7 linked regions of the Canis lupus familiaris genome follow. The protein of the gene in region 4 interacts with the protein of the main gene of each other region in a pairwise test. Links are inferred from orthologs where the notes say so. Each region holds a gene or a part of one and is shown on either strand. Other genes may lie near its edges.

Region 1 (3,820 bases), on a different chromosome or scaffold from region 4:
CTCAAAACAGGTTATCCATAAGGTATTATATTCACCTCTAAAGCAAATTTAGATTTGTGGCCTTAAAATACTATATTCAATATCCTTTAAAAATGTGAATAAACGGGACGCCTGGGTGGCTCAGCGGTTGAGTGCCTGCCTTCGGCCCAGGGCGTGATCCTGGAGCCCTGGGATCGAGTCCCACATCGGGCTCCTTGCATGGAGCCTGCTTCTCCCTTTGCCTGTGTCTCTGCCCCTCTCTCTCTCTCTCTCTCTGTGTCGCTCATGAACAAATAAATAAAATCTTAAAAAAAAAAGAAAAAAAAAAAGAATGTGAATACAAAGGAGATACAACTTGTTGTTGTTTAAAAAGTATATCCAGGGCAGCCTGGGTGGCTCAGTGGTTTGGCTCCTGCCTTCAGCCCAGGGCGTGATCCTGGAGACCTGGGATCGAGTTCCGCATTGGGCTCCCTGCATGGGGCCTGCCTCTCCCTCTGCCTGTGTCTCTGCCCCCTCTTTGTGTCTCATGAATAAATAAATAGAATCTTAAAAAAAAAAAAAAAAAGTATATCCAATGTTTAAAAGAACCAGCACTGACAGGCATTTATATCAGTAAGGCGGGTGTAGGGGGAGGTCTCAGAGATCTGCAACAGGCATCTTCATCACAGCCTGTGGTCTGATTCTCCTATTTCTGGTTAGATTCCAGTGTTTGGCTACAAATCCCCAAATTAACATATATCTATATTCAAAGATGGTTTGCTTTGGAGCCCGTATTCTGGCTGACCACAGGACTTCAAAGTCAAGCCAAATGCACCAAAGAATCCACCTGTCTTCAAGGACAGAGGTACAGCCCTGGCTGCAAACCATTTTCTGGGTATGAATCCCACCGGTCTTCTCCATAGGGTGAAGGTACTGACTGTAATTATCTTCTTACATCCTAACATCCTTCAGACAGTGCTCCTCAAACTTTAATGCACAAACAATTCACCTGGGGAGCTAGTTAAGATGAAGATTCCGACTTAGCAGGTTGGCTAAGTCCTGAGACGCTTCACTGCCAAAAGGCAGGTAATGCTGATGCTCCTGATCCTTGGACATTTCCAATAGCAAGATTTCCAGCAGCTTCAGTGGAAAAGGTCTAATACTTACTGATCAGGTTGGATGTGATAGGAGAGAACCTCTCTTTTGCTGTCATGTCATTTAGGCTTTTCACTTTCACGGAACGCTTTATGTAGGGATTCATAATGGAAGCAGCCATTTTAGGTTCCTTCAAGATTTGCTGAAAGTACCAAAAAATAATTTCGTAAACTCCTTAAAGCATAAATGATCCTAGCTGCCACAACATACTTCTTTCGCATGAATCACGTATTTCGTTAATTAGCACTCAAGCACTTATGAAGAGAAGTTTACAATCAAGTACTTTTCATTGCCTTTGAGAATACTTTCTACCTTTATCTCATATATTTCTTGAAAAAATTTAAAAACACTTTGTAAGGTTTCTTAAGTCTATTTTTGCTTTTCAAGAGATTATTAAAAAATTAAGCAGCCAAAATAGTCAATTAACTGCATATTGTTAACGTATTTAATATGGGTAATCCTCTAGATTTTCACAAACTACGAGAAGGCTAGTGATGCTAACACTCATGTGCAGACCTAAAAAGGTGCTCTGATGGCAAAGGAGGCCTCCTTGTCATGCCCTGGGAGGGGGCCTCTATGTCTCAGCCTGGTCCTGCCCCTGCCCTGTCTCTTACAGGGCCCCGTGAGAGACCTCTGGTGTTTCCAGAGAAGCCTCAGCCATTCTGGGATGGGAGGTGGCTACCAGGAGTGACAGCATGGGTCTCTATTTTGTTAATTCATAAATGTCTGTTTTCAGTGACCCAAGGTAACTTCTGGTACCCTGTTCCCCTCTGTATCAGGCCAGAGTTCAATGAACCAATGGCTGTTTCCATCCGGGCACCTTTCGTTCAATTAAATACCCCTGGCAGTCCCTTTTCTCAGGCTCCTGGCCAGAACTGTGAGTCTAATCCAGGCTACTTGTCACATACTAGCATCTAGGGCTAAAATTTCAATTTAAGTGACTCCATAAAAACAACACTTTCCCCTAAAAATTGCTGACTTACAAAAATTAAAAGCATTCTGGTGTTTGGGGAATCCAGTATTTCATGTTTCTAGTTTTTTTCTGCTCCATCATCCAGTGGGAAAGCTTTGTAGTGGCATCTGTGTAGCATTAACACTTTCCTCTCAGTTCTAAAAAACTGCTAATTTTTTATAGAGACTTCAGGTAATTGCTTCCTTTCTATCTCTCTGTATCTTAACCGATTTCCAGGTTTTAGTCAAACCCCATTCTAAGAACCACAACCCAGGTCACGCTCTCTACTGTGAACACTGCTGTTCACGTTTAAAATGGGCATAAATGACAAGAGCGGGCAGTAAGTATCAGCTCCAAAAGAGCTGTGTGTGAGCCTGCCTGCTCTGTGTGGATCATGCCAACTAAGACCGCAAGCATCATCTGCAGACATAAAGGAATACAGAGCTAATGTTATCCACTAGGACAAAAGTTCTGATAAAAAAGCTTACAATGAAAAATGAACAAGTATCATCCTATGTGACTAGCCTGTGAGGGTTTTCTCTTCTGAACAGTAAGATAAAAAAATCTTTAGAAATAAGTGGATTAAAAATACAAGAACTTCTGAAAGCATAATACCAAAAAAGAGCAAAACTTTCTTGGGAGAGGGTATAGACTCCACCTTCAATCTAGAACTCAAAGAGGAGAATTTCAGGATGCCTGGGTGGCTCAATGGTTGAGCGTCTGCCTTCGGCTCAGGGTGTGATCCTTAAGTCCTAGGATTAAGTCCCACATCAGGCTTCCTGCGTGGAGCCTGCTTCTCCCTCTGCCTGTATCTCTGCCTCTCTCTCTGTGTCTCTCATGAATAAATAAAATCTTTGGGAAAAAAAAAAGAGAGAGAGAATTTCTGCTGTAAACAAAATGGGCAGGAACCTGTTAACTAGAAAATGGAGTTAAAATTACAGCAGATTTTCCCCTTTAAGTTACATAGTAGACTTCGGTTAATTCAATTATTTTACTCTTTATGTTAAAAAAAATGTTAAAATGGACTCCCTTGTAAGCTTCATTATCTTTATCAGTTCTCTATTATCATTACAGAGCCCATATGACTTTCCTAATTTTGCTGCCCAGCATGCTGTGCTTGGTCATTTTCCTCTCACATCTTGGGAATAAAATAAAAATTGAAACTGAGGAAAGGCTTCAAAAGGAAAAGAAATTCCTAGTAAGGCACGTTATAATACATTCTAAAAACTATTTTGAAAATACCTGAAATACAAACACAGATTTTCAAAGGTGACTTCTATTTCTCCTCTAAGCCCCAAGTCTTGGTTCCTAATATTAATATCCTGGTATGTATCTGCCTGTACCTACCACACAATAGGTTCAAAATATTAATACCCACTACTATCACTATCAACATGATTTCGGGTTTTTTCTTTTTTTATAGTTCATTTTCTCTCAGGATATGTCTCATTAGGGCTACACGGCCAAATAACCAAAACAAAAAACATATGATCGAAATTTAGTAAGTAATGAACAAAAAACTACTTACTGCTACTCTCAACAATTCCTTTTCTACTTGTTCCAGTTTATTCTGTTTCGATGCAGCAGAATAAAGGGCAGTGGCATAGCGACCTTCGATACCATATATCTGAACAGGTGGCTTTAAAAAATGGATGGAGTAGAGAAGGAAGAGGAAAGGAAAATCAGTTAAGACAATATCATACTGCCAACAGAAGGATTTAACATTTATATTAAAAAATGACATCATTTATAGCA
Region 2 (3,820 bases), on a different chromosome or scaffold from region 4:
AATTAACAAATTAAGACAGTATTACTTTCATTCTTATTTATTCAGATGTTCAAAAAGCTACCCAAGTATAGCTTTCTGTAGGATATAATGGAATATAAAGGGATAAATTTACAAGTAAAGATAGTCTTAAAAACCTTATTTTTCCTGTAATTAATCTGTGCAGTTATAAATGGAAATTTGTTACAAATACAGAATTTGCAGCCAACTGTATGGGAAGTTTAGTTTCGTAAAGTAGGCTCTTTTCATGTAATTCTGTAGCTCAAAACTCTCGTGTACAGTTCTGTTCTAAGAACATAGCTTTACCAGATGCCTGAGTTAAACCAAAAACATCTAAAGTGATTGTCGGTGTCAACCAGATTTACAAATCTGATTATACAAGATCTAGTATCCCTAATAGAGATTTACAATAATCTGTCCTTGTCTCAATACTGAAGGCTTGAAATACTTCCAATCTCAGAATTCTAGATGAATACAGATAATTATATGTGACCTAATTCCACATAACTTTAAAATGTCAGATGTGACAAACTGAGATACACAGTCACACTTTTATTTTCCAGTCAGCGTAATCCTTCACTCAGTTTGAGGAAGTGTAGCATAGGGGAAAAGTGCACTCATTTTGGAGCCTTGGTTTTGAATCCTGGCTCCTCTTCACTTCAACGTGACCTTGCTCAAGTTGAATTCTCTATGCCTGTTTCCTCATCTATAGTAATGGAGATAATACTACTACCCCAGAGTTATTGAGACGATTAATGAGTTAAAACAAAAGGTACTTAGAATAGTATGTGGTACATGCTAAATACTACTTTTTCATATATTCAAATTATATGTATAAAAATAAATTAGCTCAGTCTTTGGTAATTTAGAGAATAGTCTCTGAGCTACAAAGAATTTGGATTTTCTTGTGGATGCAATAAATGCTCTTAGGTATATTTTACATTTGTACGGAAAACATTTGTCTACAGTATCTCTCATGTTGATACAATACTGAATTTGGCCAACTACACTTAACCATATTTAGTCAAATGGATGGATTATAATCTAAACGTTTCTAAAGTTAGCATGTGTGTAGATCTGATTTTTTTCTTAGGACTTTTGTGTAAAATAGTTGCCATATTTTACAATTTCAATGACTATGTGTGGGTTTTTTGGTTTTGTTTTTTTTTTGGAATGGGTGCTTTTGAAAGAGGACTGTTTGTCATTATATCTATTTTTGTTCATATACAAGTCTGTATTTCTAATTATGCCAGTGAACCCTTCTCTCAAACCCGAGATTTTTACACACTTGCAAATAGTAATATAAAATTGTACCAATATTTGTTACTAAGGTAAAAAAAAAAAGCATAAACCTCCCACACCCATTATTTAAGTTGAACATACCTCTCCAACATATTCCATGACAAAACTCATTCTTTTAATCTTCACAAGGGTTTTTACACCCCAGCCACAGCCATTACTAGTTCGAAAGATGCAAAGTGAATACTGGGTGCCTTTTTGTACAATCCTATTGGGACAATCGGGTCCACATTGACACCTCGAGTTGCATTCATAAATGGGGGTACCAGGTGGGATTTTAATTTGCTGGTTTTTATTATAAGCCAAAAGAACTCCAGCTTCAGCAGGACAACATTTCTCAAAGAAGCAATCTGTACATGAACAACCAAAGGTAGCTTCATTGACTAAGCTGATTCCAGGAGCTGGTTTGTATTCATTAATATAGTAGAAGTCTGAAGGTGGGCCCTCTAAGTCAACAGTATTTTCAACAAAAATCATTCCTTTATGATTCTTTCTTCTGTTGAGTTCATCTTGCCATCTCTGCAGAGCTATCCTCTGTTTAGCCTTCTTTACAATGTATTCAGCAATGGCAGGTTTCAGAGCTTTGTTATTGTCTTTTAGAGATATTGCTTTGCCTTTCTTTACCTGAGATAAATAATTATGCTTGTCATTAGAGAACTGCTGAAGTAGTAATGGGCACTTGAGATTTTGCAAAGGTTCCCAAGTATTTGTAGAATCTGGCCATCCTTTCCATTTTACAAGATAATATTCCATATCCTTAAAATATAAAAGAAAATTGCAATCAGATTATGACAGTCCTAATTACTTAAAATAATATCTTGAAGGGTAAGGTAGCCATTATCATTCTCCTTAATAAAGTTCAGAATACACTGAGTCAGAGGTTTTCTTTATACTACATAAAATATGTACAGAATTTAGTTTAGTATGTTTGAACACAGGTAAAGAATTGCACCTCGGAGATAAGAGTACTGAAATTCAATGGTATTTATCTTGATCATGGAAACAGGTAGTCTCAAAACTAACAATTTATGACCTACGTTAGTACTTGACATGACCAGCACAGATGTAGGCATCCTCTAAGTAGGGAATTTTAATATTTTACATTGGATATAAGGCAAGTTCTACTTCTCTATATCATGGGGCACACAGCCCTTAGATGTTCTAGAAACACAATGTTCAATACAAACATTCCTAGCTGCCATGTAGCTACTGAGCACCTTAAATCTGGCTAGTTGAAATTGAGATGTGCTTTAAGTACAATATACATTGAGTTCAAACAATAAACAAAAAAATAACATATTCAACATTTGAAAAGTACTGATTACTGAAATATTTTGCTTTTATTGGGTGAAATATCTTTTTTTTTTTTAATTTAAAATCATCTCTATGAGCAATGTGGGGCTCAAACTCACAATCCCAAGATTAAGAGTCACATACTCTACCGACTGAGCCAGCCAGGTGCCCCTAATTAAAAATATTACTGAAAGCAATCTCACTGGTTTCATTTCACTTGTTTAATGTGATTACTAGAAAATTTAAAATTACATATATGTAGCTTATATTGTTTCTATTGGACATAACTATTCCAGAGAATTCTTACTTTAGACTCACGCATGAATGGATTAGGTAGCAGCTACCAAAGAGCAAACATTTTGATTTATCCCTCTGACTGCTGTTGTGGCCACCATGGTAACTAGAATTTTGCCTTCCTACCCCAGTGAGTCACTGAGGTTCTCCTCCCTTAAAATCAGGGAATTCCATGTTAAGTAAGTTTCTCTTTAAAAATGTAGTCAAGTGTGTAATAAAATAAAAAAATTCTAAAGCCCTTCAATTTTTTCTTTGTCGTCTGGAATAACATATATCCACATTCTAAAATATAAAAGTGATTAAACTGTATTCTACAGTTTTTAGTTATTTTAAATCAGATATAGATTAAAACCTTAACTGGGATACATTTGCTTTTCCCTAAAATTTTTAACAAAGTTTTTATTATAAAGTAAGGATGAGCATCACACTTGTTCTACTATTCATAATTTATTAATGCCAAATAACCTGGAAGACTTGAGAAATGTTGCTGAGGCACAAATTAGGGGGAGGTACCCTGAGGCAGCTTTGCTGAAGTCACTTAGCCAGTAAGTTTTATTTTCTCTCCACCGATGAATCTCAATGTTTCAGTATAGTCTACTCAATAAGCAATACTGCTTGTGAATTAAAAGAACTATTCTTTATCAAAAACAGTCAAAATATGCATTACCTATTAAAAAATATGGTTAAATTAAGGTGTGAAGATATGCACAAAAATTGTACTTTTGTGGAAATACATATTGTGATTTCAGTGGAAAAAAAGGAAAAGCTTAGTCACATATTTAAGTGTTAAACTGGCTGACTAAAGTAACACAGATTTCTTCCTCCTGTCCGGTTACTACAATTTAGGATTTACATTAGTAGATATCTGGCTCAACAATAATGTGATCCAAGTGGCAGTATCTAACATATCTATTCTACTTCTTAGCTAAGGAAGTTT
Region 3 (4,410 bases), on a different chromosome or scaffold from region 4:
TTTTTTCTATCTTAAACATAAAGATCAAAATCTTTTTTTCAAGTGTGAACAAAGATATTACTTTAAACTTCAAAATTTACAGAACAAATAAAATATTATAGCCGAGTAAAATTAATACTTTCTCTTTTCCAAATATGGGGGGGGGGACTTGTATGCTTAAATTGGCAAAAAAATTAAAAAAAAAGGACTATATTTGTAAGTTTTGCAAATTAGAGTTCCAGTGAAAGCTTTGCATTTAGTTCCTGAAGTTCACATCTTTACATTGTAAATTATAAATTGTGATCTCCCCTGCCTTCATTTAAGAACAATCCACAGTCAATTACAATGTAAAGTAATATTTTTATTACTGTTTTCAACAAGACTGCTTAGGGTGAGGGTAGAGGTGCAAGAAAGGGAGGGGCACAATCTGACATTGGCACTGAGATACATTTAACATCAGCAAAACTTTTTTTAAAAGAGAAATTTTACATATAATTAAATACTTTTTCTCACTTGGTGACAACATTCAGGCAACCCAAAACAAAATGAAATGAGAGGGAGAGGGAGAGGGAAAGAAAGAAGATGAGAGAGGAGAAAGGAGAAAGGGAGCGAAGGAAAAGAGGAGAAACTACTATACATTGATTTGAAAATGTACCTTGGGTTTCATTTTGTGGTGGCAAAGCCCGATTGCTTCTTTTGTGTGACCTTTTAAATTCACATTGTTTGGAAGAAAAACGATCACTTTTGTGCAAGAATGTGATTTATTTTGGTTGGTTGGTCTGCTCTCTTTTTGTTTGCTTGTTAATTAACGAAGGTCTTGTGCCTGCTTCCTGTTTCTTTCAGGTGGCTTACATAAAAGTTTGTGTCCGGAGTTTCTGCTGTTGGTCGCTGAGTTGTGTGTGTTGTGTGTTAGAGAGCATTCCGGTCTGTGTCGCTTTTCAAGCAGTCCCCAGCACCCTATAGTTTGTCCAGGCTTTTGGGATTGGTGAGAATTTCCCTGGCCAACCTCCAGGTCTGCTTGGCAGCGCTCTCCAGGGCCGAATGGGGCTTGCCCTGGAAGAGGTCGAGGTTGGGCAGAAAGTAGTGAGGGCAGCGGCGGCACTGCAGGCAGGAGATGAGCTGCAGCAGGATGCCGTTGAGCCGATCGCCTAGGCACGCCTCGTCCCAGTCCGTCTCCCGCGGGTGTTTCTCGCACTCGTACAGCAGCAGCGTCTTCATGTGGTAGTTATTGAGCGGCTGGCCTGGCAGCTCCAGGTGGCGGTCCCGCAGCGTCTTCAGCACCGACAGACACTTGTTTCGGCAGCCGCCCATCAGCAGGCGGTTCTCCGCCTCCCCGAACTGTAGCACCCAGGCATCGCTCTCCGCAGAGCTCTGCTTGCCGGTCAGGGAGTAGCACTCCTTGGACAGCAAGTTGAACCCTTCGGCCTTGACCTCCGCCACCCGATTGGGGCCAGGCCAGGGGATGTGGGGCATAGGCCACTGTGCCGCGCTGCGAGGCCAGATACCGGTGCACTTGAACGCGGGAGTGATCTGCACCACGTAGCGCTCCCTGATGCGCAACTTGACCTCGCTGGTGTCTGCGATCATCTTGACCACATCCCGGTAGCTGCACTTGTCCACCGCCTGAGCCACCAGGGTCTGGAAGCGTGAGCGGATCTTACGCGCCGAGAGGTAGCCGGACGCTGTGATGAACTCGACCCAGAGAGACATGCTCCGCTTCCGCCCATCACTCAGTTTGAGCACTGCGCAGCCGGGCAGGGAGCCGTCGTCCACGAAGTTGAAGACGCCCATCTGGTTTAGGTAGAGCACCACCTCGAATTCTGTGGGCGAGATGACCTCCAGCCCCTCGTAGCGGGCATCGATCTCGCTCAGGGAGCTGATGAAGCGAGGCTCCTGTACCTCCACTTCCTTGAGCACGTCCGAGACCACCTTACAGACCTCTCGGATGGTCTTGGCGATGGCCGCCTTGCGTGCTTGGCAGCGCTCGGTGTAGTATTTATTGAGCTGGTAAACCAGCTTGGCCTGAGCGGCGATCATGTTGGGGCACAGGTCCGGGCTGTACACCGGCGTCTCGCAGTACGTTGAGGGATCCAAGGCTCACGCAGTGGTGGTGGCCCTGCGGCTGGCGAAAGAGGCGTCGCGCTTCCCCTGAGCCCCACTTTCACTCTTGTTTTCCACCTGGACTGACCGGCTGCTGCGACAGCCGCCTTGCTTTTTCTTTCCCCTCTTTAGAAACCTTTTTTCTTTTCCCGAAATAAGGGGGAATGGCAATCTTTGAAGAAGAAAAGTACCTGCTGGGACCTTTTTGCTTGATATGTAAAATAAAGATGTGCTGTGAGAGAGATGAAGGGGAGGGGGGAGGAGAGGGGCCGAGAGAAAAATTCAGGTTACCAAGAGGTTAGGCTTAGATGTCTACAGCCGAGATGGCCCAGAAATCTGGAAATGAGGTCTTTTAAGTGCCAAAGTAAATTTAAAAATAAAAGCGAAACATTCAGTGTTTCATTCTTAAACTTCTCTCCCACGCTGGTACGACTTCTTCACTCAGCGTAGGTGAGTGCCTTTCTCCTCACCCTCCCCCAAATGGAAGGTGAAGGCCGTAATTAAGGTCCTGAGAGCAGCGACGTGCAGCTCTGTCCGAGGCACACTTGGAGGTTTGCAGACGCCCCGCGCTCTCAGCTTGACGGTCTGCTCTCTTCTCAGGGGGTCGTGTTGTAGCGGTTTTCCTCTTTTCCTACTGGAGGCGTTGTTTGGACTGGGTTTGTTTGTTTGCAGTGGTTGCTTCTTGTCTTTCTCTAGGTGCAAACCGCTGGAAGTTGTTTGATATTCATTTCTGCTTCGTAATTTATAATTTTGGCCCTCACAGAATCTATTCTAGTGTGACGAAGTCGTTGCTTGCGTTGCATCTGGGGTTTAGTTATAAGGATTCAAGGGTTTTTCTTCTCCTCCCCCTTTAGGTTGCTTGTGCAGATTCCACTTTCTGAGTCGTCTCTCCCTCCTCCCCTCCGACGTCTCTCTCCTTTTCCCTCGCCCTCCCTCTTTTTCTCTCTCCTCCCTCCTTTTCTCTCTCTCTCCCTCTCTCTCCTCCTCCCCCCTCCTCCTTCTCCCCCTCCTCCTCGTCCTCCTCCTCCTCCTCCTCCTCCTCCTCCTCCTCCTCCTCCTTCTTCTTCTTCTTCTTCTTCTTCTTCTTCTTCTCTTCTCTCTCTCTCTCTCTCTCTCTCTCTCTCTCTCTCTCTCTCTCTCTCTCTGCCTTGCTGTTTCCTGGAGTTATTTAGTTTATGAATGGTCCAGGGCCATCATGAGGGGGGTGGAGCTTCAGTTCCTACAATCGCTTTCCGAGCTGTCAGTGCTTTAGCCAATCCCAGAGAGAAGACAGGCATGCTTGGCAGACAGTAGCAGCCACCGCTGCACTTGATAAAGAAAGGGGGTAAGAGAGAAGTAAGAAAATAGGAGGAGATAGTAGAAGTCAAATGCTCACCCATATTTTACAGCCCCCTTCTTCTTTATCCTCTCCTCTTATCAGTTGCAAGGAAGAAAAAGAGAGTCTATATAGAAGGGACTTCCTGGAGATGGCTGGAATAACGCACGAGAGAGTAGCAGTGGTTGAGAAAGATTCACTTTTTTCCCCCCTACCAATATTGTGCAGAAGGTGCAAACTCTGACAAAACTATTTTTGCTTGAAAGCAAATAGAAGGAAGAAGGGGAATCTGGGAAAGAACCTACATTTTTTCTAGATTTTCTCCTTTGGCAAAGTCTTCCTCCCTTGTCTTCCCCTTCTTTCCCATTGTTGCCAAAAGCCAGAGCAGTATGTGTGCACCAGTTGGGCTGTGTGGTGGAGTGGATATGGGGTGAAGGTTTATGAATATAAATCTCTTTTCAGTAATTTCCATAAGCTGTTGAAAAACTGGAGCAGGGTAAAAATAGTGCAAGCACCTTGTTTGATAATTACTTCATAATTAAGATTCAGCTATATTTTATGCTATTTCTTTATTAAGAAGACTAGCTATTAGAGAGAAAATAGGTTTAAGTTCTGAGAAAGAATGCTACTCTATATATGGTAGAATATTTCTGGACATACTTTTAACATAAGCCACTAAAATTGTTTTAAACAACAAAAATGAAGAGAAGTAAAAGTAAACCCAAGTTTTCTTAAAATGTTAAATGTTGTAAATCTAATTTTGAATACACTCTGAGGCAGTACAGAGTTTCACTTGTAAAATGATTTTATTTTCATAATTGACTGTTGCTTTTAAAAGACTTCACTGCTGCAAAAATCTATAACTATCCTGTTATTGATTACACAGATGGCTTCACTCCTCCCTTGGCATTTCAGTGAAACTCATGCATGTGCTTTTAGTATATGTGTTATACTTTCAAGCTGTACCCCTTGTAGCCTTTCCCTACTTTTGGATGAAAGAAGCTGTACCAGTGTTT
Region 4 (4,365 bases):
CGCCACCCAGGGATCCCAAAATCGTGAATTTTTTTTAAGCTACAGCTTCATTGTCTTAGTCGAAACAGGATGATTATTTTAAATTCTTTTTTTTTTATTAGCAACTTCAAGTATAACAACTGAAACTGGAATAAGTATTTTCTATTAATAAAAATGAATTTTGACAAAAAAAAAATAAAATGGCTGCTATAAATCAGAAACATTCATTTTAAACAGGTATGAGAAATTATTCCTGTAGTAAAACAAACATTTTTAGCTGAAAAGGGATTTTTTAAAAAATAATCCAGGTTTTTATTTTTTTTATGATAGTCACAGAGAGAGAGATAGAGAGAGGCAGAGACACAGGCAGAGGGAGAAGCAGGCTCCATGCACCAGGAGCCCGACGTGGGATTCGATCCCGGGTCTCCAGGATCCCGCCCTGGGCCAAAGGCAGGCGCCAAACCGCTGCGCCACCCAGGGATCCCTGAAAAGGGATTTGAAAGGGGAGAAAAAGCATTACTAGATAACATCCTGAGCCCCATTTCAGGATTTCCTAACTTTTTATAGTAAGTTAATATTGACTTAGGTCTGTTCAGCCTTCTAATATTTGCCTTGTAGAAAACATGCAAAAATTGAATACATTGAAAGGTTCTGTAATTCAAACTCAAATAGTATGCTATAAGGTTAAAGATACAGTAACTGAAGTTATATTTTTTTTAAGTGACACCAGGAAATCTTCCTAAGAGAATAAATATAGAGCTTAATTACACTGAAATTTTATATATGTGTCAGAAAAAAAAGACAATAGAATTTTTTAAATACTTTTATTCATATACATGTATTTTGACAACTTCAAATTTAGAACACTTAGAATCAGCATGAACAAGAACTACCATTCAATGACAAGGATTTGAAATGGGGGAATAGATACTGTAACTGGTTCTTATTAATCTCCCCATGCAACAAGACACTCCCTGTGTCTTGTACACAGAAAAATTGATTCACACAATTCTAGAATTGCAGTATTTTTCTAACATCCCATTCCATAGTCTCAGAATACTTTTCAATTAAAGTGATCCAGATGTTTCGAGATGAAAAATAAAACAATTTGCTTTGTAAGGCTGAATAAATAGTATGAGTCACATTTCTTTCCATTAATATAAATTAGGGAAAAAACTTAGGAACAATTTACTGTAAACACAAAAACTATTCACAATATTAGTAACAACGGCTCATATTTTTACCGAACACTTCCTGTGTTTGCCAGGCCCCACGCTAAAACATCTGAACATGCAATTTCACAATTATCTCAATGAGAAGTGTCAGGGATTCACATGGTTTTTACAACGGATGATTGCCACAATGACAGCTGGCACTGAGCACTTGTGTACAAGTCTTTACCTGGCATTGCAGCGAGTACGACTCACTTGTAGCAGCTCAGGGTGCTCATTTGCGCGATTGTACTAATGTTACATGAATACTCAGGCCTGACTCCCTACCCCCACCCCCAAAACAGCACATGGCGGAAGTCTTTACCACTAGGGACACATCTGTAAGAGCACGGAGACAAGGTAAGCGGCTGCGATCTAGATGTGCACTGTCGCCGTTTCCTGGGCCTCAGAAGTGCCCCTCCAAGCCTAACTGCAGGAGGGCGGCCTCCGCCTCCTCCTCCTCCTCCTTGGCCTCCTCCTCGCGGATCTGCACCAGCAACTGGAAGAGGTTAGGGGCAGGCCCTTCCGCGGCCCCGGTCAGCCACAGCTGCCTCCGGATGGCCCCGCTGTGGTTGGCCCCGGCAATGACCTGCTCCAGGCGGGCCTGGTTCACGTTATCTTTATCTATGGCCCCCTTCTCCACCACCTTCTGCAGAAGAGGCTCCAGACGAATGACATACGCAGATAACTTTTCTCCCGGGTTCTGGTAAGTGTTCAGAAATCTGACCTGCGCATCCCTAGAGCTCTCGACGCTCCCAAACACCTGCTCAAGCGCCTTCAGGCATTCGGCAGTGGTTATCGCAGGGTTGTTCGTCTTGAGGATGCGGATGACATCAGCGGCGGGGCCCCGAAGACTCTCCATCAACCGCCGCCTCTTTTCTACATCAGACACCTGCCACTCCTCTATGACCTCATTAGTGTGTTCCAGCCAGGGATCAAAGGTCTCCTCCCCAGGCCCCGGGATGTCCCTCCCCGAGAACAGCGTCAACTTCTTGTACCATATGGACTCAACAAGAGGCTGAATAACGTTATCTAAAATATAGTTTAGCATCTCTGCTGGCATATCTGGACCCGGGGCCGGAGTGGGGTTCTGAAACCCAAGGACGCGGGCAACATCTTGCACGGTCCACCCCTCTCTCGCTAGGAAGAGGTGCAACCTTTCTAAAAATTCAGCATCGGAAGTCGGGGGTTTAAAGACCACTTTCCAGACACCTCCTTTACCCGGCATCTCCCTGGGGATCGCGGCGTAATCGACAGCGCCAGTGAGCTCTAACAAGGCTGCTTTCGCATTCTCTTCCCTCCAAAACATCCTCCCAAGCACTCGATAGGGCACCTGGGGCATCGCAGCCTGGAGGGTCTCCTCGATTTCAGCCTCATCACAGTTCACTGGGATCCCCCAGACCAGCAGGGCTCTCTGGGAGTTCACATCCATCCCCCGGCACCAGTCTTCCAACAGCGTCATCGCCATTTCCCCAACTAGCGAGGGCCCCGATTCTACAAAGACGGATTAGGCTGTGGCTCCCTGCGCTCTAGGGCTCAGCGCGGCAGCAGACACCCCCCCACCCCCGTAGGCGCGAGGGAGGCAAGCTTGACGCAATCACAATTAACAAACGACACCAGAGTCCTGCCCTCTTCCTTCGCGGCCCCCAAAGGCAGTCCGCCGGCTGGTCCCCGGAGCCAAGCCCCGGGAGGCTCGGGCAGTCGCCTCACGCGTCCGCCGCCACCGGCGTCCTCAGTCGGGGCCCGCGGCCCGGGTCCCCCACCTGCAGCCGGGGGTCGCGTCCCGTCGCAGCGCAGGAGGCGGGCAGCGAGCGCGGCTGGCGAGGGCTGCGCCGCGGGGCCGGAGGCGCCCGGGTGTGGTCGCGGGGCGTGGCCGCCTCCTCCCGGCAGCCGGGCGCCGGCACTCGGGGCTCCCCTCGGAGGCGATCCCGGCGTCCGCGGCCGGAGCCCGGCCTCCAGTCGGCCGAGGAGCGGCTGCTCTGCAGACGAGGGCTGTGCGGTCCCCGGAGGCAGAGCCTGTTCTGAGGTCGCGGCGGTGGCTGCCACGCCAGCCCGCCAGCGGCTTCTTTGCAGACGCAGGGATGGCTCCGGGCGGTGAGGGCGGCTGAGGACCGAGCACACGGGCGGCGGAGGCGCCGAAGGACGGGGAAGCGGGGCCACAGGCGGCGGCGGCGCGCAGGCTGCGGCGGGCTGCGGCGGTGTGGCGCAGCGGGGCCGCCGGGGTCCCACCGCAGCCCGCGGAGGCGTTACTGCCGCAGTGCGGGGCGGGGCCGGCTGCGGAGCCGCTTCCTCCGCGCCCCGCCCCCGAGCGTAGCCATGGCAACGGCGGCCCGGACTCCCGCCCGCTCCGCGCGCTCCCGGGGTTGGGGCTGGGGGCGGGGTGGGGCGGTTGCAGAGGCGCTGGCCTGACGCTCCGGACACTGCTCTCTTTGGTGGCGCATTTCCTTTTTCACATTTTCCAGTTTTTATTTCATTTCTTAAAAAAGATTTTATTTATTCGTGAGAGACACAGAAAGAGAGGCAGTGACACAGGCAGAGGGAGAAGCAGGCTCCACGCAGGGAGCCCGACGCGGGACTCAATCCTGGCACTCGAGGAGCACACCCTGGGCCGAAGGCAGGCGCCAAACCGCTGAGCCACCCGGGCTGCCCTTTATTTCATTTTTTAAAAAAGATTTTATTTATTCATGAGGGGTGGGCAGAGACAGAGGCGGAGGGAGAAGCAGGTTCCCTGCAGGGAGCCCCATGCGGGGCTCTATCCCAGGACCCCAGGATCCTGACCTGAGCCAAAGGCAGGAGGTCAAACACTGAGCCACCCAGGTGCCCTTAAAAAAAATTTTTTTTTTTTTTTTTAACAAAGCACCTTGTTTAAAAGATAATATAATTCTGGAGTGGAGTTAAGGCTGCAAATGCCTCCGTCACTGGTCTTCCGCTGGGTAGGAAAATACGGTCTTTAGCACCGCAGCTTCCCTGTCCCACCTGATTGCATTCTGCACCCTCCATACATCCCCTCAAACTAACACGTTGGAAGCGTGCCGTGTTCATATTTTTGTGTGAGACACTGAGTTGAGACTTTTTCTTGTCTAAAGTTTTGTAAAAAAAAAAAAAAAAAACCCGTATCTAGTCAATAATCCGTAGCCAGGCAAAACGCTAGTGTGTTATTTTTCCTGTCCTGGTA
Region 5 (2,826 bases), on a different chromosome or scaffold from region 4:
CCAGGCTGTGGGCCCAGGGGGTCACTTGTCTTGGAGATCTCAGGAGACACGGGGACCTGACGGCTCCAGCATGGGGGGAGGGGGCGTGTCAGATCATCCCTGGGTTAAGCAGGTTCCCCGGAATCCACACAGCCCCGGGCGCCCTCCTCTCTGTCCCCTACGCTGCTGTCCCCATGCAATTCCCACGTCGGAACAAGGGACCTGTGTTTTCATTTTGCCCCAGCTCTGCGGGGCCTACAGCCGCCCTGCCCGCACGGAACCCTCGCCTCAGGCTCTGCATTTGGGGAAACCAGCCGCAGGCTCCTTGCGGCCGGAGTGGAGTCCTCGAGGCCTGGCCGGGCGGGTGCCCCGTTGGCTGGAGGCCCGGGAGCTGTGCCCCTCGAGGCTGGGTCGCGGCTCAGCCCCGGGATCCCGCGGGCACCTCCCCGCGCTCTCCACCCCTCAAAGAGCCAAGGGAAAGGGAAACAGGAAACGGATGGTTTTAATACAGTGACTCGATGGTGCCGCGGGTGTGGGCGGCCGGGCCGGGCCGGGCCGGGCCGGGCCAGGGGCCGAGGGGGCGCCTGCTGGGGCCGGGCGGGCCGGGGCGCTCCTGGGCGGCCGCGGGAGGGGCGCAGGCGACCCGCTCCAGCCCCGCCCGCCCCGCCCGCCCCGCAGGGAGGCTCGCTGCGGGCGGCTCACCAGGCGAAGAGCGGCTTGCGGTCGTCCTTGGCGAGCTCGCACAGGCAGCTGAGCAGCAGCAGCGAGTCGCCCAGGAACTTGGGGGGCAGCACGTCGATGAGCAGCTTGCGCAGCGCGGCCGGGCTGCGGGGGGGGCTGGCGCGCAGGTCGGGCCGCTGCCGCAGGATGCCGTAGGTGTTGATGAGGAACTCGCTGAACTCCGGGTGCACGTCGCGGTTGTAGCCCAGCCTCTCCAGGCGCGCCGTGAGCGCCGCGTAGCGCTGGGTCAGCTCCCGCAGCCGCGTCTGGTCCACCGACCCGTCCAGGGACTTGGTGCACGTCTGCGGGGGCGGCTCCGTGGGCGGCGGCCCTCCCCTGCCCACCCCCTGCCCACCCCCTGCGGCGCGGCCCGGGCGCTGGGACCCCGGGTCACCCGAGGCCTCCCCGCCGCAGAGGGCAGGTGGGGGGAGGGGGGACCCCTAGAGCTGTGTGGGCAGCACGGGGTGGGGCCTCCGGGAGGGAGGGGCCTGGGGAGGGGCTCAGGGGAGGGAGGGACCCCGGGGAGGGAGGGGGCTCCCGGGGAGGGAGGGTCCCGGGGGGGAGGGAGGGACCCCAGGGCGCGGGAGGGCCCCAGCGGAGGGAGGGACCCGGCAGGGAGGCGGCGGCAGGGGCGCACCTGCTTGATCTTCTCGGGGATGTTGGACACGGTGAAGCCGTACAGGCGGGTCAGCCCCGGGAACACGTAGGCCAGGATGCGCCGGTCCAGCTGGAAGGCGATCTCCCCGACGATGCGCCCGTCCTTCTGGGCGCCGCAGCAGCCCTGGATCTCTGTGAGGAGCGGCGGGGCAGGCCGGCGCAGGACAAGGACAGTCAGGGGCCAAGCCTCCTCCTGCCGCACCCCTGGATCCGTTTGGGGGAACAACTGAAGTAATCGCGCCCGGGTTTGGGGTGAAGCGCTGGGGCCCGGCCCCCCCCCCACCGCGGAGGGCCCCGGCCGCCCCCAAGCCGGAGGGTAACAGCAGGGGAAGGAGAGCTGGACCCTCCTGCGGTCCCAGGGCAGCGACCCCTGTCCCCTCGCCCCAGGCAGCCTGACCACCTGTGGTCCGGGGTCGTCGCCACCCACCCCACCCCCGTCCTCTGAGACCAAGGGAAATGCCTTTAAAACTTGTTTCTCAGCCCAGGAGTGTTTGTCTTGTCCCCCCAGAACCTGCTTCCAGACCTGCTGCAGCCCCGTCCCTCAGTCAGCAGACCCTTCCCACGCTCCTGGCCCCATGCGTGTGACCCCGAGACCCCGGCGAGCACAGCCGCATCCCCGCCGCCCAGAGCCTCCGCCCGACACCTCCCTCTGCTCCTGCCGGGCTTTCATCCCCACGAGGAGCCCAGGGCTTGTCCAGCCACCAGACCAACCCTACAGGTGACGCCTGGTGCAGCCTGCGGGCTCCACCCCAAGGGCAGGGGCGCACCCACGGGTGGGTCCCATGACCACACACAGGACACCCCACACGGGCACCTGAGCCCTGAGAGCGGCAGGACCCCAGGACCAGCCTTGGCCGTGGCCGTGGGCAGGTGGTTGCCCTCCTCGGCCCCATCCTGTGCCCGGGTCCCCTTAACCATCCAGCCAAGACAGCCTCCAGGGCGCTCACACGGCGCCGCCAGTGGGTGACCACAGGGGCTCATCAGCCCTTTCAGGACAGGCTGCTGCCAGGTGGCCACTGGTGACCCCAGAGGACAGGCCCCCGAGGACGGACCCTGAGGACGGCCCCCAAGGACAGGGCCCCGAGGACAGACCCCCGAGGACAGGGCCCCAAGGACGGGCCCCAAGGACAGACCCCCGAGGACAGACCCTGAGGATGGCCCCCGAGGACAGGGCCCTGAGGACAGGCCCCGAAGATAGGCCCCTGAGGACAGGGTCAGGATGCAACTGCCTCAGCCGTGCACCCCCAGACGCCGAGAGGGGAGCATCCGCGGACAGGGCCCATGGGCGTCAGGGGAGGTGGCTCTGCGGTGGGGACAGGGAGGGGCTGCAAGGGTGTGGACAGCCCGGCAGAGGGTCCCGTCTGAGCCACACGGCCCAGAGCCCGGCTCCCCACTGAACCCCACGAGGGCCCAGAGCTGGGGGGCCCTGGGGCCACGGGGTCCCAGTGGGCAAAGCAGGTTTCAGGGGGC
Region 6 (4,568 bases), on a different chromosome or scaffold from region 4:
GAGCCCCTGGGAAAAGACTGAGGGATATCCTGATTGAAGCCACTGGGAAGTCAGCATCCGGGGCTGTGATGACGGATGTTTTCCTGCTTCCTTTTGGTGATGGTGGCAGGGAGGGGCTGGGAAGGGAAAGGCTTCCCAGGTGGACAGCTTTGATAACTCTCCTGTAGGAGGAAGTAGAGAGAGGAAGTCCTTTTCCTACATCCCCACTCACCTCGGTCCCCAGGCCCTCAGAAAGATCCCTGCAGGGTGGCTGACCCGGGCTTTCTCATTTCCCCCTCTGTGGGTTGACAGCAGCTCCTGGATCCTTTGTAAGTCAGCCAGGCAGTGCTGACTGGAGAAACTCAGTGTGAATCCTGGGCTCCACCCGGTCTGAGAGCTGCCTCTCAAGAGCTAGGGGTAAGGAGCTCAAAGGAGGGACACCATGGCACATAAGTGGGGGAAGGGGCGGGGGCTTGCTTTTCAGATAAGACTCCTGGGCCCATCTATAGGGACTGGCCTCTGCTGAGCTGCCAGCAGATCTTTAGAGAACCTTAGAAGGCATTTAGCATATCTAGGTCTTTCCTTAACTTGGCTGCAAGCAGGTGAGCAGGAGGGTCTGTCAGGGTCTAAGGCCTGAGGCATAGGTATTTTAAATAGAATATGCCAGACAGGCAGTAGGGAGTACACGACAGGTACAGGAGACTTCTTTTGTTCCCCCTTCTTAATCTAAAACCCAGGAATCCTCTTTTTTGACCAGTTGTGCTTTTATTAAAAAGTATGAATCATGAGCAAGTAGTCATGCAGGAAACTTTATCCTCTGTCCACCCACCCATGGAAAAGGCCAGCGCTGGAAATGAACAGAACCCGGCAGGAAATGAGTGCAGGTAGAACAGGGGGTTGGGGGGGAGCTGCAGCCTTATCTTGGAGGAGCACTGGGGAGGGAAGGGCAGTGATGGAGAAGCCCGCCATAACGTCCAGAAGACTGTACCTGCCAGTGAAACCAAACCACCTTTCAAACTTTCCACTGGGGCCATCTTGCAGATGGAGCCAGGAGCTCAAGTCTCTGCCTGGTGGGGGTGGGAGCAGAGGTGAGAAAAGCCGCAGGAGACATGCTGTTTGGAGCTTAAAAGCTGTCCAGATGCACTCTGACTTCGTGGAAGGATAGAACTGGGAGTCCCAAGACCTGATTTAACATTCTGATCTTGCTAATTATCTATGTGACTTTGAGCAGGTTGCTAAACCCTCCAGAGACTCATTTTATCTCTAACATCAGAGAAACAGTAGCTGCCTGTTGAAGAGTCGTCATGAGGATGATGTGAGGAAATGTGTGTTGCAAAGTCTAAAGCCCAGAACAAATGTGAAGGATATTTGCCTATCAGTCTACCTCCACTTAATCACAGCATCTAACCTGGAAGAGGAGTCAAACACATCTCCCTCCCGGCCAGCTGAAGCACAGAACCTTCCCTGCCCATCCCATGCTGTTAACTTGGCTTGCCCTCTATCTCCAGCATCTCCAAGACCACAGCTTTTTTTTTTTTTTTTTTTTTTTTCCCCTGGTGGAAAGGAGCTGGGAAATGTGGCTTTGGCCAGTGGGGGAGAAGGGGCCTTTATGCGTACCAGCAAAGACCCGATTGTTACTGAATCCAAACTGGGCTGCTTTTCCCAATTATCTCCACTACTCTTCTGGTCTCCATTTTCAGATGCCAAGTTTTAACTCAGAACAAAAGCTCCTGTCGGGACTGATTTATAATCCAGATCTGCTGACGGGGCTCTACACTGTTCCTCCCCTCTAGGACTGCTCTCGCTTAAAGTTACCACCAAAGCCTCGGGGCTCCAGTCTCTCTACCTCTGTCATTTGCCCCTAGCCAAGAGGAGGCATCTGTGACTGGGTGCCGATGGGGCGGCTTCCCTGGGGTTTGTCCACCTGCCCAGCTCCGAGGACCAGCTGGCAAGGTCCACTCCAGCACCGCCCAGGGAAGGAGGCCAGAGCCACAAGTGACTTCTAGGAGCTGCTGTGGGCGGGGGCAGGCGCTTCTAGAGGTGGGAGTTCTCCAGCTCGGCTTCCCCTCAGCCGCTTTCATCTGAACAGGAGAGCTCAAGCTCCTGTCACTTGTTGTTCAGCCTTCCGGTGGCATCAGAAGGAGTCGTTTCTTGGGGGCAGGCTCCGTGCAACAGGAGTCTCCCGGAGGATCGTCTTCACCGGGAGCCGGGCAAGCGCGCCGCTGTCCCTCGGTGTGGAGCATGAAGACCGAGGGGCAGACTCCCCGGAGATAAGTGGGTCTTCCCGGCTGGTAAGACTCGTTCCAGCGTGACTGCGGGGAGCCGGGGGGGCCCTGGGGTCAAAAGAGAAACCACTCTGGTCCGCCCCAAAGAAGAGCCTCGGTTTCCCCCGCTCCCCTCCCTGGGATACTCGCCCCGAGGTGGCTTGCCCGCGTTGGTTCCTGTGACCGCAGCGTGGGCGCTCCTCGGCCCCATTCCCGAGCCCAGGCGCCCGGCCCGCGGGTGGCCTTGCGGGGGGCGCTGGACTCCTCGGAAGGGCCGGGTGAGTCCGAACCCCCAAGGCAGTGCCCGGGGTCCCTCCCCCGCCCCACCTCCGCGCGCTGTGGCGCAGACGGCGACTCCGAGGCGCGGGGCGGCGGGGCGGCGGGGCGGCGGGGCGCGGGCAGGGGCGGGGGTCGGAGCGCGCGGGAGGGGAGCCGGGGGCCCCGCGGGTCGCGGCGGGTCGCAGCCCCCTCCGGCGCTGGCCTTTGCGTCCCGCCCCCGGCCTCGGCTGACGCCCCCCCGCGCCTGACGTCAGGGGCAGGGGGCGGAGAGCGGCGGCAGCGCCGGAGAAAGAGCCGGCGCCCGGCGCGGTGGCGCGGTGGCGCGGTGGCGCGGGGAGCCCGAGCCCAGGGGCGCCGAGCCGAGCCGGGACCGAGGGGCGGGGGCGGAGGGGACAGCGAAGGAGGGCGGGCGGGCGCGCGCGGGCGGGCGGGCGGGCGGCGGCGCGCGTGGGGGCGGACCGCGATCCGAGCCGAACGCGAGGGCGGCGCCCAGGGATTCAAGCCGCGCAGAAGAGGTGAGTGAGGCCGGGCTTGCGCGGGGCGGGAGCGCCGGGGCTCCGGGGCCGCCGCTTTGTCCCCGACTCGGGCAGGGGCGGCCGCCCGCGCGGAGGACAGGGTCCGGGGGCGCAGGCGCGGGTGGCGGCGGGGACGGCAGTCCGCCCGGGATCCCTCCTGCGCCCCCCGCGAGCTGCCTGGCGGGGGTCGGGAGCCGGGAGGCAGCGCCCGCAGCCGTAGCGTCCGGAGGCGCGGACTGGCCAGGGACAGCGGGGCGAAGGGGAGAGGGGACCCCGTGCTGTCGGGCCGGCGGCCGGGATCCTCTCCGGGCCCCCGAACTGCCCCCGGCTCCCCCACCCCCGACGGAAAGTTTGGGGCGGGCTTGGACCGTGGCCGATGTTGTGGATCGGGTTTCCCTGCCGCGGCCCCCCGCCCCCCGCGCGCCCCGCCGGGGAGGCGGGCTGTCCCGGAGAGCCAAGCTCCCGACCCACGCCCGGCCGCCCGGTCCCCGGCGGGAGCGCTCGCGCTGCAGCCGCTCCGGGTGGCGAGGGTGGGGGGCGCCGCGCCCGGGCCCCGCGCTCCTGCGGCCCCCTCCCCGCCCGCGGCCCCTGCTTCCCCGCCCCGGGAGGAGCTGGGGGTGGGGGCGCCGCCGTGCTGGTCGCGTCTCGGAGCGCGCCGCGGGGCCCGGGCCCGGCCCCGGGCTAGGGTAAGGGGCAAGGGAGGCCTGGGGGCGTGTTGGGGGGCCGGAGGGGGGAGGGGTGAACGTACCCCCAGCCCCCCGCCCTTCCAGAGCTAGGGGTACTGGGCCGACAGGGGGCGTCCGCAGGCCGGGCTCGCCACGCTCCCAGCGCCGCCGCTTTGTTTGCATTCAAATCCCGGGAGCTGGGGGAGGGGAGAACCTGGGGGTGGGGGGTGGCCGAGGACCAGGTCTTGGCGGGGACCCTTTGTTTTGGGGCGAGCAGGTCCCCAGCTTCTGTGCCTCCGTACCCGGCACTGGAAGGCCGGGGCAGTGGAAATTAATCCGGATGGTTGGCCCAGGCCGGGTCCCGGGGCGCAGTGCCTGAGTTGGGAAGATTGGGCAGCCCCGCGGGTAGCGCAGCAGGCGGCCCTGCCCTGGGCGTCCCCCGCGGTCCGAGAGGAGCCCTCCTCGCGCCCCGCACGCGCCTCGACTCCCCCGCCCCCGCCTGAGAGCGTCGCGGGAGATCCCTGATTAGACCCGAGCCGGCTGTCGTCCCGCGCCCCAAAGCCGGAGGGCTAGTGTCTCCTAGGAGGCTGTGCGGGGAACAGGATGAGGCCCTGGTCATTTCCACGCCCATCCCACCCACTTCCTGCCTCCCTTCTTGGGCAACAAAGGGGCCTCGGGAAGCTGGGCCCCTTCGGCTCCGGCCCCACTTCAGCCCTGCTGATGTGGAAGCCGGGTTTGGGGCTCTGCCGGGCTATTGTCTGCGCTGGGGGAGGGGAGAGGCCGGGGCCCGCACCCCACAGCCTGATGCATCAAGGCCGCTCCCTGGGGGCGGTGGGGGCCTTCTGCAACCACCCACCCACCCACCC
Region 7 (3,666 bases), on a different chromosome or scaffold from region 4:
GTTTTTTTTTTGTTTGTTTGGTTTTTTGTTTGTTTTTTTTTGCCTACAGATCGTTTTTTGAGTCTGCCCTTTTTTTTTTAAGGAGTCCTAAATGAAATAAGAAAACTGCTTTAAACTAACACTCTGTTTCCCAGGGGTGGGGTTGGGGGCAGAGGGCTCTCTTAGGGCTGACACTGTCGCGAGAAATGGTGATTCATATTTTGCCACCTCAGGGCCGCTCACAGTGCTTGGGGCCAGAGCCTCCGTGAGTATATGTGTGTGGACAGCTCAGCTGCTATGTTGGATTTGGCAGAAAAGCTACTGAGAGGTGAGGACAAAGGATAAGGAAGGGCTCTTGTGAAGTTGGAGGAGTTGAGCAGGAACTGGAAAGGGTGTTTTACCGGGGAGTGGAGGGGGGCTAAAAGCTGAAGAGGAGTCTGATTTCCTGCGAGCTCACAGCTGAGCAGAGGGTGGTGGAGGCCTTTGCTGGGCCGTGGATGGGTCGGGTAGGATTGAAAGGACAGCTGACCCAGTCTCCCCAGCCCTTTGCAAGTTTGCTTACCCTTTTGCATCTCGCCCTTCCCTAGTGGCGTCCTTCATCCTTGGGGGCGTGTTTCTTGCCGAGACATCATTTTATACCTACGCACTCACCGCTGCCACGCCTCTGCTTCACTCCACAGGTGGCTCAGCGTCCGGGGAGCCTCACGTTCCAGGTGTCTTCTTCAGGCAGTTTCTCCCTGTGTCACCCAAGGCAAGTGACGACCTTCAGAGAATCTTAAATGTGGAATTTGGCAGATGGAAAACTGTGATTTCAGTTTTGCAACCCAGCCTGGAGTGTTAGAAGATAGAAGAGAACAAATACGAGGGGAGGGAAGTTTGTGACGCTCCCGGAAGGGCCAGGCCGGGGGAGTGTCAGGTCCATCATGCGCCGCGTCTGGTTCTCAGGTCCAGTTCGATGTGGTGGTGTCGGCCTTCTCCCTAAGTGAACTGCCCAGCAAGGCTGACCGCACTGAGACCATCCAAACCCTGTGGCGCAAGACAGGTCACTTTCTGGTGAGTTGAAATTCCTCTGCCCTTCAAGTTGTAAAGCAGCCTCACGGATCTCACGCGTTTCCTTCTCTCTTGTCTCCGTTGGAACTTGACCGTTGTTCTCAAGCGTAGGTGTGTTCGTCCCCCTTTTAGGCTCTGCAGCCCCACCTGCTGTGGGGATGGCCCTTTCCTTTAGGGCCCTCGACTCCCTCGGCGAAGTTCCCACGGAGCTGCTAGCATTTGTGTCCTCGTGTAATTCAGGGCTTATGCTTATTCTCCTTTTTGGTGAGCAGATATTGGTAGAGAATGGAACAAAAGCTGGCCACTGCCTTCTCATGGATGCCAGGGACCTGGTCCTCAAGGTAGGATTCTTTCTCCTTTCACTCCTGCGCCACCATCTCGCCAGTTAGCCCTACTCCCTTGCGAGTCGAAGAGCCTCACTGCTCAGAGTCCTGCAGTGGTGGGGTAACGCTCAGGGTGTTAGCACGCGCACTCCTTACGGTGCAGGGGGGTGACTAGCCAACCAGGGCCTGCGGGCACATCTGGCCTCTCACCCATCTTCGTATGTGCCATGTGGCCTGCGAAGAGTGGAGTTGACAAGTCAGCACAGAAACTGATTTTGTCTACTCCCTGGGCCTTTAAAAAAAGAAAAAGTGCGCGGACCCCTGACTCAGGGCATTGCTAAGCCAAGAACCTTATCTTCTGGGGATGGTGTGAGCCAGTGGATGATCGTGAATTGAATTGTCCTGCAATGGGACCTTTCTGCAAGTAGAGGTTGCTGACAAGGGAGAGCACCACGTTACGTGCCAAGTCCCTGCTTTACTCCTCCTGCAAAGAAAAAGTCCTTTGTTTGGAGTATTAGAGAAGCAGCCAGCTTAACTCAAGGAGCCTAGTTAGTCATTATCAGAATTGAACGTTAAAGGAGGCCTCCGTTTACTGAGTACAGACGCGGAGTTACAAGAATACACCCCTCAGACCCAGCCTGATTTTTTTTATTTCAGGGGAAGGAGAAGTCACCTCTGGACCCTCGACCTGGCTTTGTCTTTGCCCCGGTGAGTGTTGTCTCTGCCGTTCCGTCACGCAAAGACCTGAACTCCGCTGTGGCCAGGAAAAGTGAGAGGGTGAAGCTGAGCCAGTCTCTGCTGTCTTGTGTCCCCATCCAGTCTCGGTCTTGGTTGTTCCCCGCTCTCCCTGCCCCTGGTTCCTGTGCCCCCATCTCCCTCACCCTGCTTAACTCTGCCACTCTGAGTTTTCAGTTGTATGATTCTCTGGTTCTTTTCCGTGTTCACAGTGTCCACATGAACTTCCTTGTCCCCAGTTGGCAGCCTCTAAACCTCTGGCCTGTAGCTTTTCTCAGGCTTACCACTGCATCCCCTTCAGCTGGGTATGTATCCGGAGAACCCTACAGCAGAGAGAAAATAGTCCGAGGGGGCAGATGATAAAGAGTACGAGGCAGGCAGAGCTGGGGAAGTCAGCGAAGAGCCTGGAGGTTTGGGGGCCTGGGTGTGCATGGCTTACAGAGTATGAAAAGGGCTGCAGGGACTCGGGGAGGGGGGGTCATGATTTTATTTCCCATCTCTTTTCCCTTCAAATCGTCTCTATATTTTTATCTCAGAACAAGAAGAAGCAAAAAGAGGAGAAGTTCTCGATGGTAATTCTTGCCCGGGGGCGTCCAGAGGAAGCTCCTCGATGGCCGCGTCTCACTCAGCCTGTCCTTAAACGGCCACGCCACGTGCACTGTCACCTGTGCTGTCCAGATGGGCACATGCAGCACGCTGTGATCACAGCCCGCCAGCATGGCAGGTACCAAGGCTGTAACCAAAGTTGGGGACAGCTGGCAGGACCCTGCAGCCCACACTGACCTCTCTTTACTATAGGGATTTGTATCGCTGTGCTCGCGTCAGCTCCTGGGGAGATCTTCTACCCGTGATCACACCGTCAGAGTCGGAGCTGCCCCCGTCCCCTGCTGAAGACCCCCTGAGGGTCGACAAGGATGCGTAACAAGTGTTTTCTTCCTTAGGCCTGCCAAGGCTGAAGCTACCTGGCATCCAGGGTGGGAGCGCTGGTAGCCCTGTGTGTTCTCGCTTTAGAGGTTTTAATAATAATAAAGTTTTCAAAGCGTAGAAATGGATCTCATGATTCTTAAAAGGTCCAGGGCCCAGTCGTCACGGCCTATCCTATGACAGGTGTTCAGTGCCCACGCTCCCACACGGACCCCAAGCCCACCTTCTCCAGTAAGAGTGCTGCTGCCTCTACCAGAGACCAGGACTCCCGGGGAAGTGGTGGGGCTGGTAGGGAAAGCTGCCCCCAGTCTCCGGGCACCGGCCCAGTGGGCATCGGGTTGTTAGGGGGCCACTAAGAAGGGGAGCCAGGCTGCCCAGCCTGTGGTTTCTTCCCTTTTCCTTCTATCTTTCTCAGGGTTCGTCAGCTCCCCAGCCCAGTTTCCTCAAGAGCTGATCGCCACGGAGCCTGAGTTTTCCATCTCTACCCCCATAGATCCAGGCAGGACCCTTCGGTTTGCTTGGGTCGTCTCTCAGTTTTTCACTCAGCCTCACTGTTTCAGGGCTAGAGCAGTTTTCTTCGCCCTAAAATCTCAGCCTCTCTCCCCCAGGACACAGTCCCGACCTATCATGGCTTGATTTTCAAACTTTTCAACCT

Evidence for each region.
Region 1: the proteins of PNMA1 (region 4) and ATP5PO interact in binary tests that used the Homo sapiens proteins (3 or more experiments, as listed by UniProt). The two-hybrid records come from large-scale screens. The link is inferred for Canis lupus familiaris from reciprocal best matches to the Homo sapiens genes PNMA1 and ATP5PO.
Region 2: the proteins of PNMA1 (region 4) and SUV39H2 interact in binary tests that used the Homo sapiens proteins (3 or more experiments, as listed by UniProt). The two-hybrid records come from large-scale screens. The link is inferred for Canis lupus familiaris from reciprocal best matches to the Homo sapiens genes PNMA1 and SUV39H2.
Region 3: the proteins of PNMA1 (region 4) and MAB21L2 interact in binary tests that used the Homo sapiens proteins (3 or more experiments, as listed by UniProt). The two-hybrid records come from large-scale screens. The link is inferred for Canis lupus familiaris from reciprocal best matches to the Homo sapiens genes PNMA1 and MAB21L2.
Region 5: the proteins of PNMA1 (region 4) and SPATC1L interact in binary tests that used the Homo sapiens proteins (3 or more experiments, as listed by UniProt). The two-hybrid records come from large-scale screens. The link is inferred for Canis lupus familiaris from reciprocal best matches to the Homo sapiens genes PNMA1 and SPATC1L.
Region 6: the proteins of PNMA1 (region 4) and SEMA4C interact in binary tests that used the Homo sapiens proteins (3 or more experiments, as listed by UniProt). The two-hybrid records come from large-scale screens. The link is inferred for Canis lupus familiaris from reciprocal best matches to the Homo sapiens genes PNMA1 and SEMA4C.
Region 7: the proteins of PNMA1 (region 4) and METTL17 interact in binary tests that used the Homo sapiens proteins (3 or more experiments, as listed by UniProt). The link is inferred for Canis lupus familiaris from reciprocal best matches to the Homo sapiens genes PNMA1 and METTL17.

What each region holds. Positions count from the first base shown.
Region 1 is NC_049252.1:29,060,683-29,064,502, forward strand, and holds part of ATP5PO (ATP synthase subunit O, mitochondrial), read right to left. Parts: intron 3,705-3,820; coding exon 3,594-3,704; intron 1,256-3,593; coding exon 1,126-1,255; intron 1-1,125. UniProt on the Homo sapiens protein: Subunit OSCP, of the mitochondrial membrane ATP synthase complex (F(1)F(0) ATP synthase or Complex V) that produces ATP from ADP in the presence of a proton gradient across the membrane which is generated by electron transport complexes of the respiratory chain.
Region 2 is NC_049223.1:20,695,791-20,699,610, forward strand, and holds part of SUV39H2 (histone-lysine N-methyltransferase SUV39H2), read right to left. Parts: intron 2,996-3,820; exon of another isoform or gene 2,912-2,995; coding exon of another isoform or gene 2,897-2,911; intron 2,053-2,896; coding exon 1,381-2,052; intron 1-1,380. UniProt on the Homo sapiens protein: Histone methyltransferase that specifically trimethylates 'Lys-9' of histone H3 using monomethylated H3 'Lys-9' as substrate.
Region 3 is NC_049236.1:48,899,711-48,904,120, reverse strand, and holds MAB21L2 (protein mab-21-like 2), read right to left. Parts: upstream 3,062-4,410; 5' UTR 2,017-3,061; coding exon 937-2,016; 3' UTR 320-936; downstream 1-319. UniProt on the Homo sapiens protein: Required for several aspects of embryonic development including normal development of the eye.
Region 4 is NC_049229.1:47,276,149-47,280,513, forward strand, and holds PNMA1 (paraneoplastic antigen Ma1), read right to left. Parts: upstream 2,913-4,365; 5' UTR 2,659-2,912; coding exon 1,597-2,658; 3' UTR 787-1,596; downstream 1-786.
Region 5 is NC_049252.1:39,448,557-39,451,382, forward strand, and holds the end of SPATC1L (speriolin-like protein), read right to left. Parts: intron 1,561-2,826; coding exon 1,337-1,560; intron 1,002-1,336; coding exon 678-1,001; 3' UTR 647-677; downstream 1-646.
Region 6 is NC_049231.1:46,161,135-46,165,702, forward strand, and holds the start of SEMA4C (semaphorin-4C), read left to right. Parts: upstream 1-1,761; 5' UTR 1,762-2,270; exon of another isoform or gene 2,271-2,312; intron 2,313-2,570; exon of another isoform or gene 2,571-2,632; intron 2,633-2,956; exon of another isoform or gene 2,957-3,037; intron 3,038-4,568.
Region 7 is NC_049236.1:18,222,095-18,225,760, forward strand, and holds the end of METTL17 (methyltransferase-like protein 17, mitochondrial), read left to right. Parts: intron 1-212; coding exon 213-307; intron 308-659; coding exon 660-730; intron 731-924; coding exon 925-1,032; intron 1,033-1,301; coding exon 1,302-1,370; intron 1,371-2,009; coding exon 2,010-2,060; intron 2,061-2,299; coding exon 2,300-2,392; intron 2,393-2,623; coding exon 2,624-2,811; intron 2,812-2,885; coding exon 2,886-3,009; 3' UTR 3,010-3,134; downstream 3,135-3,666. UniProt on the Homo sapiens protein: Mitochondrial ribosome (mitoribosome) assembly factor. Binds at the interface of the head and body domains of the mitochondrial small ribosomal subunit (mt-SSU), occluding the mRNA channel and preventing compaction of the head domain towards the body.